3 linked regions of the Cricetulus griseus genome follow. The protein of the gene in region 2 interacts with the protein of the main gene of each other region in a biochemical or structural test. Links are inferred from orthologs where the notes say so. Each region holds a gene or a part of one and is shown on either strand. Other genes may lie near its edges. The genes, in order: Nppa, Npr3 and Nppb.

Region 1 (3,906 bases), about 340 Mb from region 2:
ATGCGTTGGTGAGATAGATAAATAGGAAGAGATGCACCAGTCGGTGTGGTCATTCACAAAGCATTTGAACTTGCCACTCAGCCTGGAAACCGTCCTTCACTGCTCCCCACTATGTAACCCACCCTCCACTCTTATCCAAACTGAAAGTGTAATTCACATGGCTGCAGCAGCTGGTGCTCAGGTAACAGAAGATCTGGACAGTCCCTGGTTCTCTAAATGCTCCTTAAAATCACCCAAGCTGTAATCAAAAAGTGAGAGGGGTGCAAGGAATTGTCAGCTGAGCACAAGCGTCAGTACCTGCCGCCAGGAAAAGATGAGTTGGAAATAAATGACCTTTCAGTCTGGGTGGACTTTTCCGCCATCTGTGACTGGGGCTGGAGTGAGTGGCAGAGCACTGTGTCTTGAGCCCCCCCCCACACACACACACACTCACCAAGAAGAGTCAGGAAGGGGGAAATGACAGCAAAGGGTAAGGTGGGGGACACCGGGGAATGAGGGCCAAAAGTGAAAGAAGCACCCAGACCTCGGCTTCTGTCCTTGGTGCTGAAGTTTATTCAAAAAAAATTATTTCCAACTGCTTTCCGAAAGGGGTGAGGATCTACCTTAATATGCAGGGTGGGAGAGGGAGAGCCCCATTGAAACCACCCATCTACATTTAGCATCAGTCGTGATAGATGAAGACAGGAAGCAGCAGCTCCAGCAGGGTGTTCGCCACACCTCAGTGACGATGAGACCAAGCTGCATGACACACCATAGGGGCTTAGGGTCTTCTGCAATCTGCCCCAGCAAATCTGGCTGCTTTTCCTCCCTGGCTGTTATCTTCGGTACTACAAAGAGAAAAATATATTGGTTTGATGATCTGGCTTTACTGTACTAAAACATTCAACTTGGCCAGTGATCCCCTATTTCCCACCAGCCACAGTCCAGCCCAATGGTCCCCTGTCATAAACTGGCAAACAAGTAACCCATAAACGTTAAGGCAGGCAGATTTAGTCCATTTCATTGAAATATGCCAGGCTCTTACAATTGTGGGAAGAACACTAACTGCCCATCAGCAGCGCAAAGGTGACTTTGCCTTTATTCTAACTTCCCAGCTGGTGCTCAGAGGCTGTAGCAGCTGTTGGCATGGTCTTGAGACTTCTGGAACATCCACATAGTGGGGCAGAACTCTCAGAAGGAATAAACACTTGCACTGGTCTCTCTGCTGCCAAAGATACTCCCTCGAAGTATTGAGTTTGCTCTCCCACCCAACCTCCATGCCATTTCCATCCACAGTTCCTCTTACCCGGAAGCTGTTGCACCCTAGTCCGCTCTGGGCCCCAATCCTGTCGATCCTACCCCCGAAGCAGCTGGACCTCCGTAGGCTCCGAGGGGCAGCCAGCAGAGCCCTCAGTTTGCTTTTCAAGAGAGCAGATCTATCGGAGGGCTCCCAGGAGCTGCGCCCAAGGGTACTGCCTTCTCTCTGCGGTGGGTTGACCTCCCCAGTCCAGGGAGGCACCTCAGGGAGGGAGTTGAGCACTGCCCCCGGTGCCTCATCGTTCTGCTCACTCAGGGCCTGAGGGGGCACGACCTCATCTTCTAATGGCATCTTCTCCTCCAGATGGTCTAGCAGGTTCTTTACAAAGGAAAAATAAGTGCCGGGGAAGGGGGATGTCTTAGAGGAATGCACTCAGCACCAAAGAGACCCAGTCTGTGCCCCACTTCCTGGCCCTACCTTGAAATCCATCAGATCTGTGTTGGACACTGCACTGTACACAGGGTTCGCTCCAATATGGCCTGGAAGCCAAAAGGCCAGGAGCAGGAAGAAGCCCATGGCGATGGAGAAGGAGCCCATGCTGGCGAGGGTTGGGGCACGATCTGAAGCTTGCTGTCTCTGCTCACTCCTCTCCGGCTTCTCTCTCTCAGCCTTTGCCCGTCACTGTCTCCCAGCTGCCCAGTGCCTCCCGTTTTTATAGCCCCCCAGCTCTCTGAGAACGCAGGAGGGCTGGAACCCTCCCCATTCTGTCACTTGCAGCGATAAAGCGATGGAGTGAGGAGCCAGCAGAAGATGTCCTTTTAAAGTTATCAGCCCAGCAGAGCTTGTCACGGCCCCTTCTCCTTGAGCAGCTCCAGTAGCCCCCCTCCCCGAGACCCTCGTCTGCAAGAGTCACATTCTTGCTGATTTGCCTCAAGAGGCCCCCACTTCAAAGGTGTGAGAAGAGCAGAAGAGTCCTTGGTTATCTCCCCGGGCGCGCGCCTCAGGATTCTTTCTCCCTGGCAACGGGACCCATGCAGGGAAGCAGAGGGTGACGGCTGGCCTGCACCCAGCTCCCCCTGCTTGCAGCTCAGCTGTCAGGGGCTCCAAATAAGGGTGGGAGGGGAGGAAATGACAGGCAGCTGGGAGGCCAGCTAGACCAGCTAGGGAGTGCACATGCTGGAGCTGGCTTCACACCTGATTCATCAGCCTCGTGGGTGGACCTCTGGCCCCCGACAGCCCACCCCCACCCTAGATATGCGTGTTAGCAGTCAGGTGAAAGAGTTATTTTATTTTAGAGTGTGAAGTCAGCCAGGAAGCCAGCATGATACAGGCCCTAAGAATTCAGCTACAAGTATAAACACCAAGGGACGATAGAGCGTATTTCCTCTGAAGCCCATTGTTCTTGTCTCCCAAGACTTGGTCCAAGGTGCAAGGGGACAGACAGGCTTGAAGAATGCCTCCGCTTCTCTTTCTTGGCCTTGCTGTTTTCAAAAGCTCTGAGTCTGAGTACAAAGTGTAAAATGGTCCCAGCTTCCCAGGGAATTAGAGGGAAGAAGGGAGGTGATGGAAGGGAGGGCACACAGTTCTCCATAACATTCTTCGCGACCTCCAAGGCCAAGGAAGTGAGCCATCAAAGTCTTGACTCCTCTGGCATCTGCAGGAGCATGGCAGTCACTGAATGCTCTCGAGACTTCAGTGTCACCACACTCAACACTGCGCAAGCTTTGCTGTCTGACAAGCGTGTGTTTTCTCCTTTCTGTTCACTTACGGGCTGCAGCAGACCCGAATTCCATTCCCACACATTCTAATCCACTCCCGCCATTCAGGGCCCAGATAGCTGTTTTCAGGATGGCTAGTTCCGTCCTCAGGCTGTGGCTGCCTGCTGAAGTTGTCATGTGACCACAATGGCTGGAGGTCACAAGAGGTGTCTGTGGTGATGTTCTCTAAAACAGGAGAAAGAGAGAGAGAGAGAGAGAGCCCTTTGAGAAAGCTGGGGGCTGCAGGCAACCAATTTGGGCTAGCCGATCTCTACTTGAAATATGAAATCAGTGCAAGTCTTTGTGGGAACTCTGGGTCCAAACTCTGTCGCCTCCGGATGAGTCCCTGGGATGCCCTCAATGCTTAAGTGTGTGGCTGTGAATTATGAGCAAAGAGGACTCAGCAAAGCATCCCTACTGGGGGACTCAGGTCCCCTGCGGTGTGTGCCACATGGCCTGTCTCCTGGAGATTGATGGCCTTTGAATCAGGCACAGACTTGAGAAATGGCTCTGAGGCCTTCTGCCACTTTTCTGTCCTGTGCCATATCTGAAGCGCAGAGGTGGCCCTAGGAGAGGTGACGTTCTGAGCAGTCATGCTCCAGGAGGGCAATCTCAAGGCCCGCCCATCTCCTTTGGTCAAAGTCAATTTTCAAGAGTGGAACTGGAGAGGACATAAGTGCCATCCACTGAGTTTCTGTGTTCTCAGGGTTCCATTAAGGGGCAGGGATGGAGGACGCTCCGAGTGCTCTCCACGTCTCTGTGTCACCATGTTCCACAGTGTGTGCTCTGTGTCTGACAAGTGGAGGAGCCCATCACCCTCTCAGTCCAGTCCTTAAGAAGCCTTTCAGCTGAGTCCCAAATGGAAGGCAACTCAAGGTGACGTTTCTTTCCATGTCTTTGGCCCTGCTCCAC
Region 2 (4,104 bases):
TACAGTTTAACAGCCCAGGATCCTGCCAGCTAGCATGTGGCTGAGCCACAAACTCCACTGAAAGCATACACTAAACCCCGTGACGCCCCCTCCGAAGTAAAGGTTCAAATCTACAGGAAACACCCTGAGAACTTACACTTTCTCTACAAAGAGTAGGAAATTGAGAGGAGGTCAGCCTGGAAAAGAAACTATTTTTATTTGTATTTTGGAAAATCTGCCATATCACTCACTGTTAGAGACAGATTTTAGAGAAAGAATAGTACGATTATAACCTTATCACCTATAAGATACACACACCGGTCTAGCAAACATTCACCATTAAAATGGACGGTAAATAAAAGCAAAGAGATCTGGGTATACCTCCAAACGTGGTGTATTTAAAAATAATAGCATGGGCCGCATGCAAGCTGGAGTCCTTTTAAACCAGGCCGCACCAATCCCTGGGCCCTCTACCACACTCTGACCCTCCCAGCACCAGGGCTCCGGAGCACAGTGCACAGGGCCACACAGCAGGACAGACAGATCTGCCAGGCCTCTCATCCCAGGCCACTGTGCCAAGGTCAATGTCTCACTGGGTTCAACAAGGCAATGATAAGGCTTGCAAACCTCTGATCTAGCCAGGAGGGGTCACACCCCATCTCCAGCCTGTCCTAGGAAGTCTACAGGTTTTAGCTCCATCTTGGGGAGCCCAGAGCTGAAGGAGTTACCAGGACCACAAGAGGCTGCAGTAGCCTGATGACTGAGAGTGGGAGAAAAGTAGATGTGGGTTTCTCACCCAGCAGGGGCAATCTGCCACATAGGGCAGAACTTTCCTTTCACTTAACCAGTGCCCTGCTTCAGCACCTAACAATGATTCTGCACAGACAGCCTGGAGTTCTTATGGTCAGACTTGTCCTGTCCACACCGTCTACAACACCTCTTGGCTCTACAGGGCATGCTCTTTCAGTTCAGAGTGGCCAAGTTGGAGAGAGAGGCCGCGGTGATACCACTCTGGAAGCTTGCTCTGCCCACCTCACCTGTTCTGCATCTCCATGCTTCATGCTACTCTGGCCCGAAACAGGCAGGCCCCAGACGTTCAAGTTGAAGACAAGTCGGGTGCCTAGCTGGCTCCGGTCTCCCTAGGTCTCAACCGAACAGCACCCCGGGGCGTCGGAAGCTTTGCAAGGAGGGGGGAAAGGGGGAATACCACGGACATTCTGGGCGCCTGCGCACCAAGGGAAAGCAGAGGCGGGATTCCCGGAATGTTGTGAACCCCAGTCGGGACACCCCGACTCCTTGCCCTCTGCGGGGATTCCGACTCCTTCAGCTGTCTTCACGACAGAAACGTGGCAGCTGTGGGAGTGGGGGGAGGTTCACACGCTCCCTCTAACCAAGGTCACAACACCCAGTACTGAGCTCTCTGTCTAGTTTGGCTATTGTCTCAAGCCCTCAGCTACTCGGGGAGAAAAGCCCGGGAAGGGGACCAGTGGGAAGGAGGCTCCACGCAGGATCGTCCCGCACGCGCTCCGGCCAAGCTTAGCTCTGCGCTCTTTCAGAGTCTGCGAAGCCCAACGCACCCGGGGGAAGTGAGTGTCGCCTGAGTCCAGACACCGCGACGCACTTCGGTGGAAACCACAGAAGCTTGTTTATATGAGACTAGAGGGAGCATGGGAGAGTAACACAAAGAGCCTTTAAAAGAGACTTAGGGTCTGTGAAAAGAGCAGCCAGGGTAGCCGGGAGACCCCCAGGTAGTCAAGAAGCTGCGCTCTGCTGCTGGATGTCACCCTATCAGGGGGGAGCTCGACGGCAATGGACAGAGTAAGTTCCTGGACCGCTAGGGACCCCAGAGCTGTCGGATAGGGAAAATTCTTGGTGTTTGGCAACAACTGACATACTTGGGGACCTCAGAGGTTCCCTCGAATGGCCAGCCACTTCCCCCAGGACTCCCTAGGCACACCCCTTGCACAGCGATGGGCTACCATCAACCCGCCCCTAGGTCAGGCAGCTCACACCTGAGCAAGTCCCTGCGCGCACCCTCTTGGGATGTTCGGGTTTCGGGAGAGGGTGAGATCTGCAAAAGGCTGAGGTGATGGGACTTGTGGGGAGCCACCGAGAACCTCTGGGTGGGAGCCAAGCGTCCAGATCGCGCCCTTACTCACCTCGCTCACTGCTCTGGATGTAGTGCACGATGTCGTCCAGGTCCAACTCTTTGGTCTCGTCGAAATTGTAGGCAGAAGTGTGCAAACCCTCCTCCTGAAAAACCTCGTGGACCCCCTCGAGGGTGAAGTAGCAATTTCTCTCGAGTTTGTCGTCGCTGTAGACCAGGGCAGCGCGGCTCCAGTGGTGGTGGCGGAACAGGGCGAGCATCATCTCGCCCATCTTGGCGTAGGCAGGAGCTACGCGTGTGAGGTGAGAATATTCCGTGTCCTTGTGCTGGAAGCCGGCGGCCAGCGCTCCTGCAGACAGCATCGGCAGGTCCCAGTGCGACGCCAGCCGGGCCACCGGCGCTGCGGCGTACTCGCACACCGGCCCAAGGATAAGATCCGGCTTGGCGCCGCGCGCCGCCGCCACGCGGTCCACCAGGCTGAAGAGCGCACGGTTGCCGCAGTCCGAGTCTTCGTAAGCCACCTGGAAGCGAGTGCCCGGAGGCAGTAGCCTCCTCCCGGTGCCGTTGCCCTCCACACTACGCAAAGCGTACTCGATGGCCGGCTTCACCCGGGCCAGCGAGAACAAGTACGAATCGTCCTGGGGCAACAGCACAAGCACTTCGATCTTTTGAGCCGCCAGCGCCTCTCTCTGCCGGCGCCCGCTGCCTGGCCCGGTGTCCCTACCTCCACCACTCGCGCCGCCAGCCAGTAGCGCCCGGGCCAGCAGCACGCACGCCGAGAAAATAAGCAGCAGCAGGGACCGCATCGTGTTGCCAGCAAGCCCTAGCCTTGGCCGCGGCTCGCCCTCTGCCCCCCGCCCACCCTGCCTCTTTCCTCTGTCCCTGCGCCCTCTTGGGCACTCCGAGTAAACAGAATACCCCCTTGAGTAACGCGCCAAAAGAGAGAGGAAGACTCCTCTGCAGTGTCCCTAGGTTTTCAAAAGAAAAAAATAAAAGCAAAGATAAAAAGAAAAGTTCACCGAATGTAAACCTGTGCGTCTGTAATATACGTATAGACTTATTATAAATATATATATTCTCCCTCCCTTTGCACATAGGCTATTTGGCTCAGAGGTGGCTTCTTATTTGGGCGTTGCTAAGGTTGCATTTGAAGGCGTTATTTGTAAAGAAAAAAAAAAGTTAGACTTGTCCAGGTGCTTGTAATTGATGGTGCACCTCCTTCGCGTTTGATCCCATTGATTCGCGCGGGTTCCTGGATCCATAGCCGGCGTTTAAATAGCGTGGCAGCGGCGGAGCGCGTTACCACACATGGCGCGCCGAGGCCGGGCTTGTCTCTGCAGCGGGTGGGGTGGGTGGGGTGGGGAAGGGTGGGGGCTGGGCTGGGGGAGCCTCTCATTAACATTCTTACATCAGGGCTCCTCCCCGCACCCCTGGCCTACTCGCTGTTGCCGGGTCCCTAAGCCCCACTCCTTGCCGGTGCTCAGCTTTGGCCCAAAGCCGCAGCCGCCCACGTCTACACCCGCGGGAGCCCTCGCAGCGCAGCGCGACTCTAAGGTCCCCGCCTCTCGTTGGCTCTGCTCACTCTAGCCCCCGCTTTAAAAAAAAAAAAAAAAAAAAAATGTATGTAAGTTTGAAAGGAAAGAAATGCGCGCGCACACATGCACAAACACACACGCATACACACAATCTGCAAAAGGGGGCGAGGTGTCTCCAAATTGGTGGCTTCGGTGCAAAATTCCACAGGTCTCACTTGCTCTCACCTCTTTTCTTGCTCCGGCCTGGTTCTGTCTGGATGCGCCCAGTTCTGTCCCGCACCTGACCTTACAGGTCCCCGGAGCAAGGTCGGGGAACAAGGAACAAGGTCCCAGTGCAGGAAGAAGATTCATTTGCGGACCTAGTATGCCCATCTGGCCGGGGCGGTTTCCGCACCCGTCCTTCCCCCACTAGGCGTGGGTCCCCCTCTCCGGGCTGCTGGGACACATAGCGGCCTCAGCCGTCGCCGTGTCTCAGGGCACAGA
Region 3 (3,395 bases), about 340 Mb from region 2:
GATGGAGTTCCAGGCGGGGGGGGGGGGGGCGCGAATGCTATGATCCCCTCCTCTTATTGCTCTGCACCCCGGAATCAAACACACACTTTGAAGAACAGATTCTGTGAGGAGTCTCAGGTGTTTCTGGTGTGGATTGGCACCTCACAATGTTAAAAACTGGGAGGGAAAGGAAAGCTCAGACACCTCACTGGCCCAGCCCTTGGGCTGTCTTTCTTCCACCATTAAGATGCCCTGGGACCTTGCGGGAAACATATTTTGTGGGGCTTGCTTCTTTCCTTGTTAAGATGAGTGACTAGAGTCAGGCATAGTGGCATGCCTTTAAGGAGACAGGCAGATTTCTATGAGTTCAAGGCCAGCCTGGTCTACAGAGTGAATTCCAGGACAGCAGAGTCTATGAAGAGAGACCCCATATCAAAAAATAAACAAACAAACAAAACAACAACAACAAAAAACCCCACAAACTGAAAAAGACAAGAGACTGATTGAAACACAGAGAGACAAATCATTTTCAAAAGCAAGAAATAATGCCGTGTTTATTACATTGTGAAAAGTTTGTGCTCAAAGGTAAGAAACAGTCTTGTAGAAAACAACCAAATAAATAAAAATAAATAAATAAATAAATAGGATCACTTCAAAAGGGGGTCCCAGGGTTGGGGAAGGAGCCCTTGGTGGAGTCAGGAGCCGGGCGGTGTCTGCAACTGGGAGCTCATCCTAATACCGCTTCAGCACTATGGGGAAAAGAGACAGGGAGATGTCAGACTTGGGGGTGAAACTGAGGCAAGGGCTGAGCTGCCCTCCACCTGCAGTCCCCAAAGGATGTTGAAGTTTACGGCTTTGGAAAAAGCAATCTCACTGGGCCTCAGTTTCTACTGTAAAGTGGGTCCGTTGTGCCCTTTGCCTTTGACAATTCAGTGTGGAGAAAACAGAGAGGAAATGCTCTTTCCTCTATGAAGGGGTGGTCAAACAACAGGCAGTCTGCACCCCGAGGTGCATTTGACCCCTCTGATGGAAGGTAGGAGGTGGTGACTTGTGAGGATGTAACGAAGCACCCATGTGACATTTCCTGACAGGTTGCCTGGTCCTGAAGACCGTCAGCAAGGTGGAGAGCTATGCAAGTATGCCGGATAGCAGACCTAGGGACTTCTGCTGGTGGCATGCCATGTGTGGGGATGGGGTGGGGGCACAGCTTGCAGGGAAGTGGCAAGGCAGAAGCTCACCGTTGCAGCCCAGACGACTGACTGAGCCGATCCGGTCTATCCTCTGCCCAAAGCAGCCCGAATTATGCATCTTCTTGGAGTTTTGAAGTTTCTGTAGGACCTGGAGGGTGCTGTCTTGAGACCCAAGGGTGCTTTGGGGAGGTGCTTTTGTGACGCCTTGGTCCTTCAGGAGCTGCCCCCGAGCCACCGCCTCTGCCTTTTCCCTCAGCAGGTTCAGCAGTGTCTGTGATGAGAGTGGGGAACCCAGGCCTCAGAAACACACTCCTGGCTCTCCCTTTCCTCCATGGTGCCCATTGGTTAAGAGTCCTGGTACTCAATCTTGCTGCTTCCCGAGTCTCACAAGGCTAATTCCCAAAGGACATGAGGTCTTTTCTTTGCCGCTGCCCAAACCCTTCAGGCAGACCCCATCCGTCTATGCAGCCCCTCAGCGCTCACCTGCATCTTGGATTGCTCCGGAGACTGGCTGGGACTGCCCAGGGGGTGGGAGTGACTTCCCAGCGGTGACAGATAAAGAAAAAGCAGGAACAGAACCATCCGGGACAGCACCTTCTGGAGATCCATGTCGTAGAAGTGATGGACCAGGCTGCTGTGGCGGTGCCTTGTTCCACCTCCTCAAGCAGCTTGTGTTCTGGCGTCTTCAGCCACGGTGCTTCTGCCTTTTATCCTGGAGCTGGGTGTCCGGCCAGCCCTCTCATGGAGTAGGGGGTGGGGTTATCTCTAATTTATCAGCCACATTCCTGCCTGCTGAGCTCAGGGCCTGAGAATTCCCCCCTCTGTGCCTGTGTGGGGTATTCGTTGTGGGTGGAGGCTGTGGAGAGCGGGCCTTGTATAGAAATGGGCTGGGCTAGGGTAGGAGTGTGCGGGGGACACTAACATGCTCCCTCCTTTCATGTAATCGTCTGAGTGTCTTTAACATCCTGCCCCACCCCTACTGGAGATGGCATGGAGAAGAACCCCAGCTTCCCTCGCCTGCAGCCGAGTGTGGGGCTTATGGGGTGACTCATTGAAAACACTCCCTGGCAACACCCACCATCACCAGCTTCCCCGAGAGAGTGTCCTCAGAACCTGTAATCTAGGCCCTGCCCGGCTTCCGAGCACCTGGCTGGACCGCTGGGCTGGACCGCTGGACTGCACCGCTTCCCGGCACCCTAGTAGCTGTCCGTGGTTCTGATCTCCACAAGTGAACGTCACACAAACTCTGCCACTCTCTCCTCAACCCATTTCCAGGCCAGAAGGGTCTCTCACACCCCCCAAAACCTTGTGAAACTTTTTGCCCAAGGATGCTCACTCTCTAGTGTCAACTGATTAAAAACTGGGATATGACAAAGAACTTCTGGAATTCCGACCCTCTCTCTGTCCCTTAATGAGGAGAACTGATTAGGATAGAATTTTGAGAGCCTGGCCCAGAGATGAGGTCATGTAGGAATGCCTTCTGGGGGCATCTCCAGGTGCCAGAGTCTCCTCCCCCACCATGAGTGGAAGAGAAAGGGTGCTTAGACACTAGAGGTGTGGGAAGGGCCTCTCCCCAGTGTTCTTATCAGATCACCCATGAGTGACTTCTCCCTAACACACCAGCCTCCCATCTCAGATGAGAGATGAGATTCTGAGGGGAAAAGGCCCTGGGATACATACCTCCCAAACATGTGTGACCAATGTCACCACCCCATCCGCAGAATCTGTGTTAACAAGTGTCAGCGTGGTGAAGGACAGTGACCAGGAGTAGCAGTGGGTTATGGCACAGATGGGAAAAAGGGATAGTTAGAAGCTCATGACTTGCCAGGAGGTGGTGGTGCACACCTTTAATCCCAGCACTCAGGAGGCAAAGGCAGGCAGATCTCTGTGAGTTTGAGGCCAGTCTGGTCTACAGAGTGAGTTCCAGGACAGCCTGGAGAAGGAGGAGGAAGAGGAGGAGGAGAAGGAGGAGGAGGAGGAGGAGGAGAGGAGGAGGAGGAGGAGGAGGAGGAAAGAAAGAAAGAGAGGAAGGAAGGAAGGAAGGAAGGAAGGAAGGAAGAAAGAAAGAAAGAAAGAAAGAAAGAAAGAAAGAAAGAGCAGCAGCAGCTCATGACTCCAAAACCAGTCACATTTGAAGACAGCTATCAGGTTTTTCTGCAAGCTTGGGGTGGAGCCTGAGTCCCTGGGACCCACGTTTACATGAGCTCTTGTGTTCCAATCCTGGGA

What was found.
Region 1: the proteins of Npr3 (region 2) and Nppa form a complex in vitro, tested with the Homo sapiens proteins (4 studies listed by BioGRID, with this or other methods). The link is inferred for Cricetulus griseus from reciprocal best matches to the Homo sapiens genes NPR3 and NPPA.
Region 3: the proteins of Npr3 (region 2) and Nppb form a complex in vitro, tested with the Homo sapiens proteins (4 studies listed by BioGRID, with this or other methods). The link is inferred for Cricetulus griseus from reciprocal best matches to the Homo sapiens genes NPR3 and NPPB.

The regions. Positions count from the first base shown.
Region 1 is NC_048595.1:8,467,280-8,471,185, forward strand, and holds Nppa (natriuretic peptides A), read right to left. Parts: upstream 2,404-3,906; 5' UTR 1,835-2,403; coding exon 1,715-1,834; intron 1,616-1,714; coding exon 1,286-1,615; intron 828-1,285; coding exon 816-827; 3' UTR 530-815; downstream 1-529.
Region 2 is NC_048595.1:344,989,417-344,993,520, forward strand, and holds the start of Npr3 (atrial natriuretic peptide receptor 3), read right to left. Parts: upstream 2,893-4,104; coding exon 2,139-2,892; intron 1-2,138. UniProt on the Homo sapiens protein: Receptor for the natriuretic peptide hormones, binding with similar affinities atrial natriuretic peptide NPPA/ANP, brain natriuretic peptide NPPB/BNP, and C-type natriuretic peptide NPPC/CNP.
Region 3 is NC_048595.1:8,480,028-8,483,422, forward strand, and holds Nppb (natriuretic peptides B), read right to left. Parts: upstream 1,874-3,395; 5' UTR 1,779-1,873; coding exon 1,653-1,778; intron 1,441-1,652; coding exon 1,218-1,440; intron 729-1,217; coding exon 712-728; 3' UTR 503-711; downstream 1-502.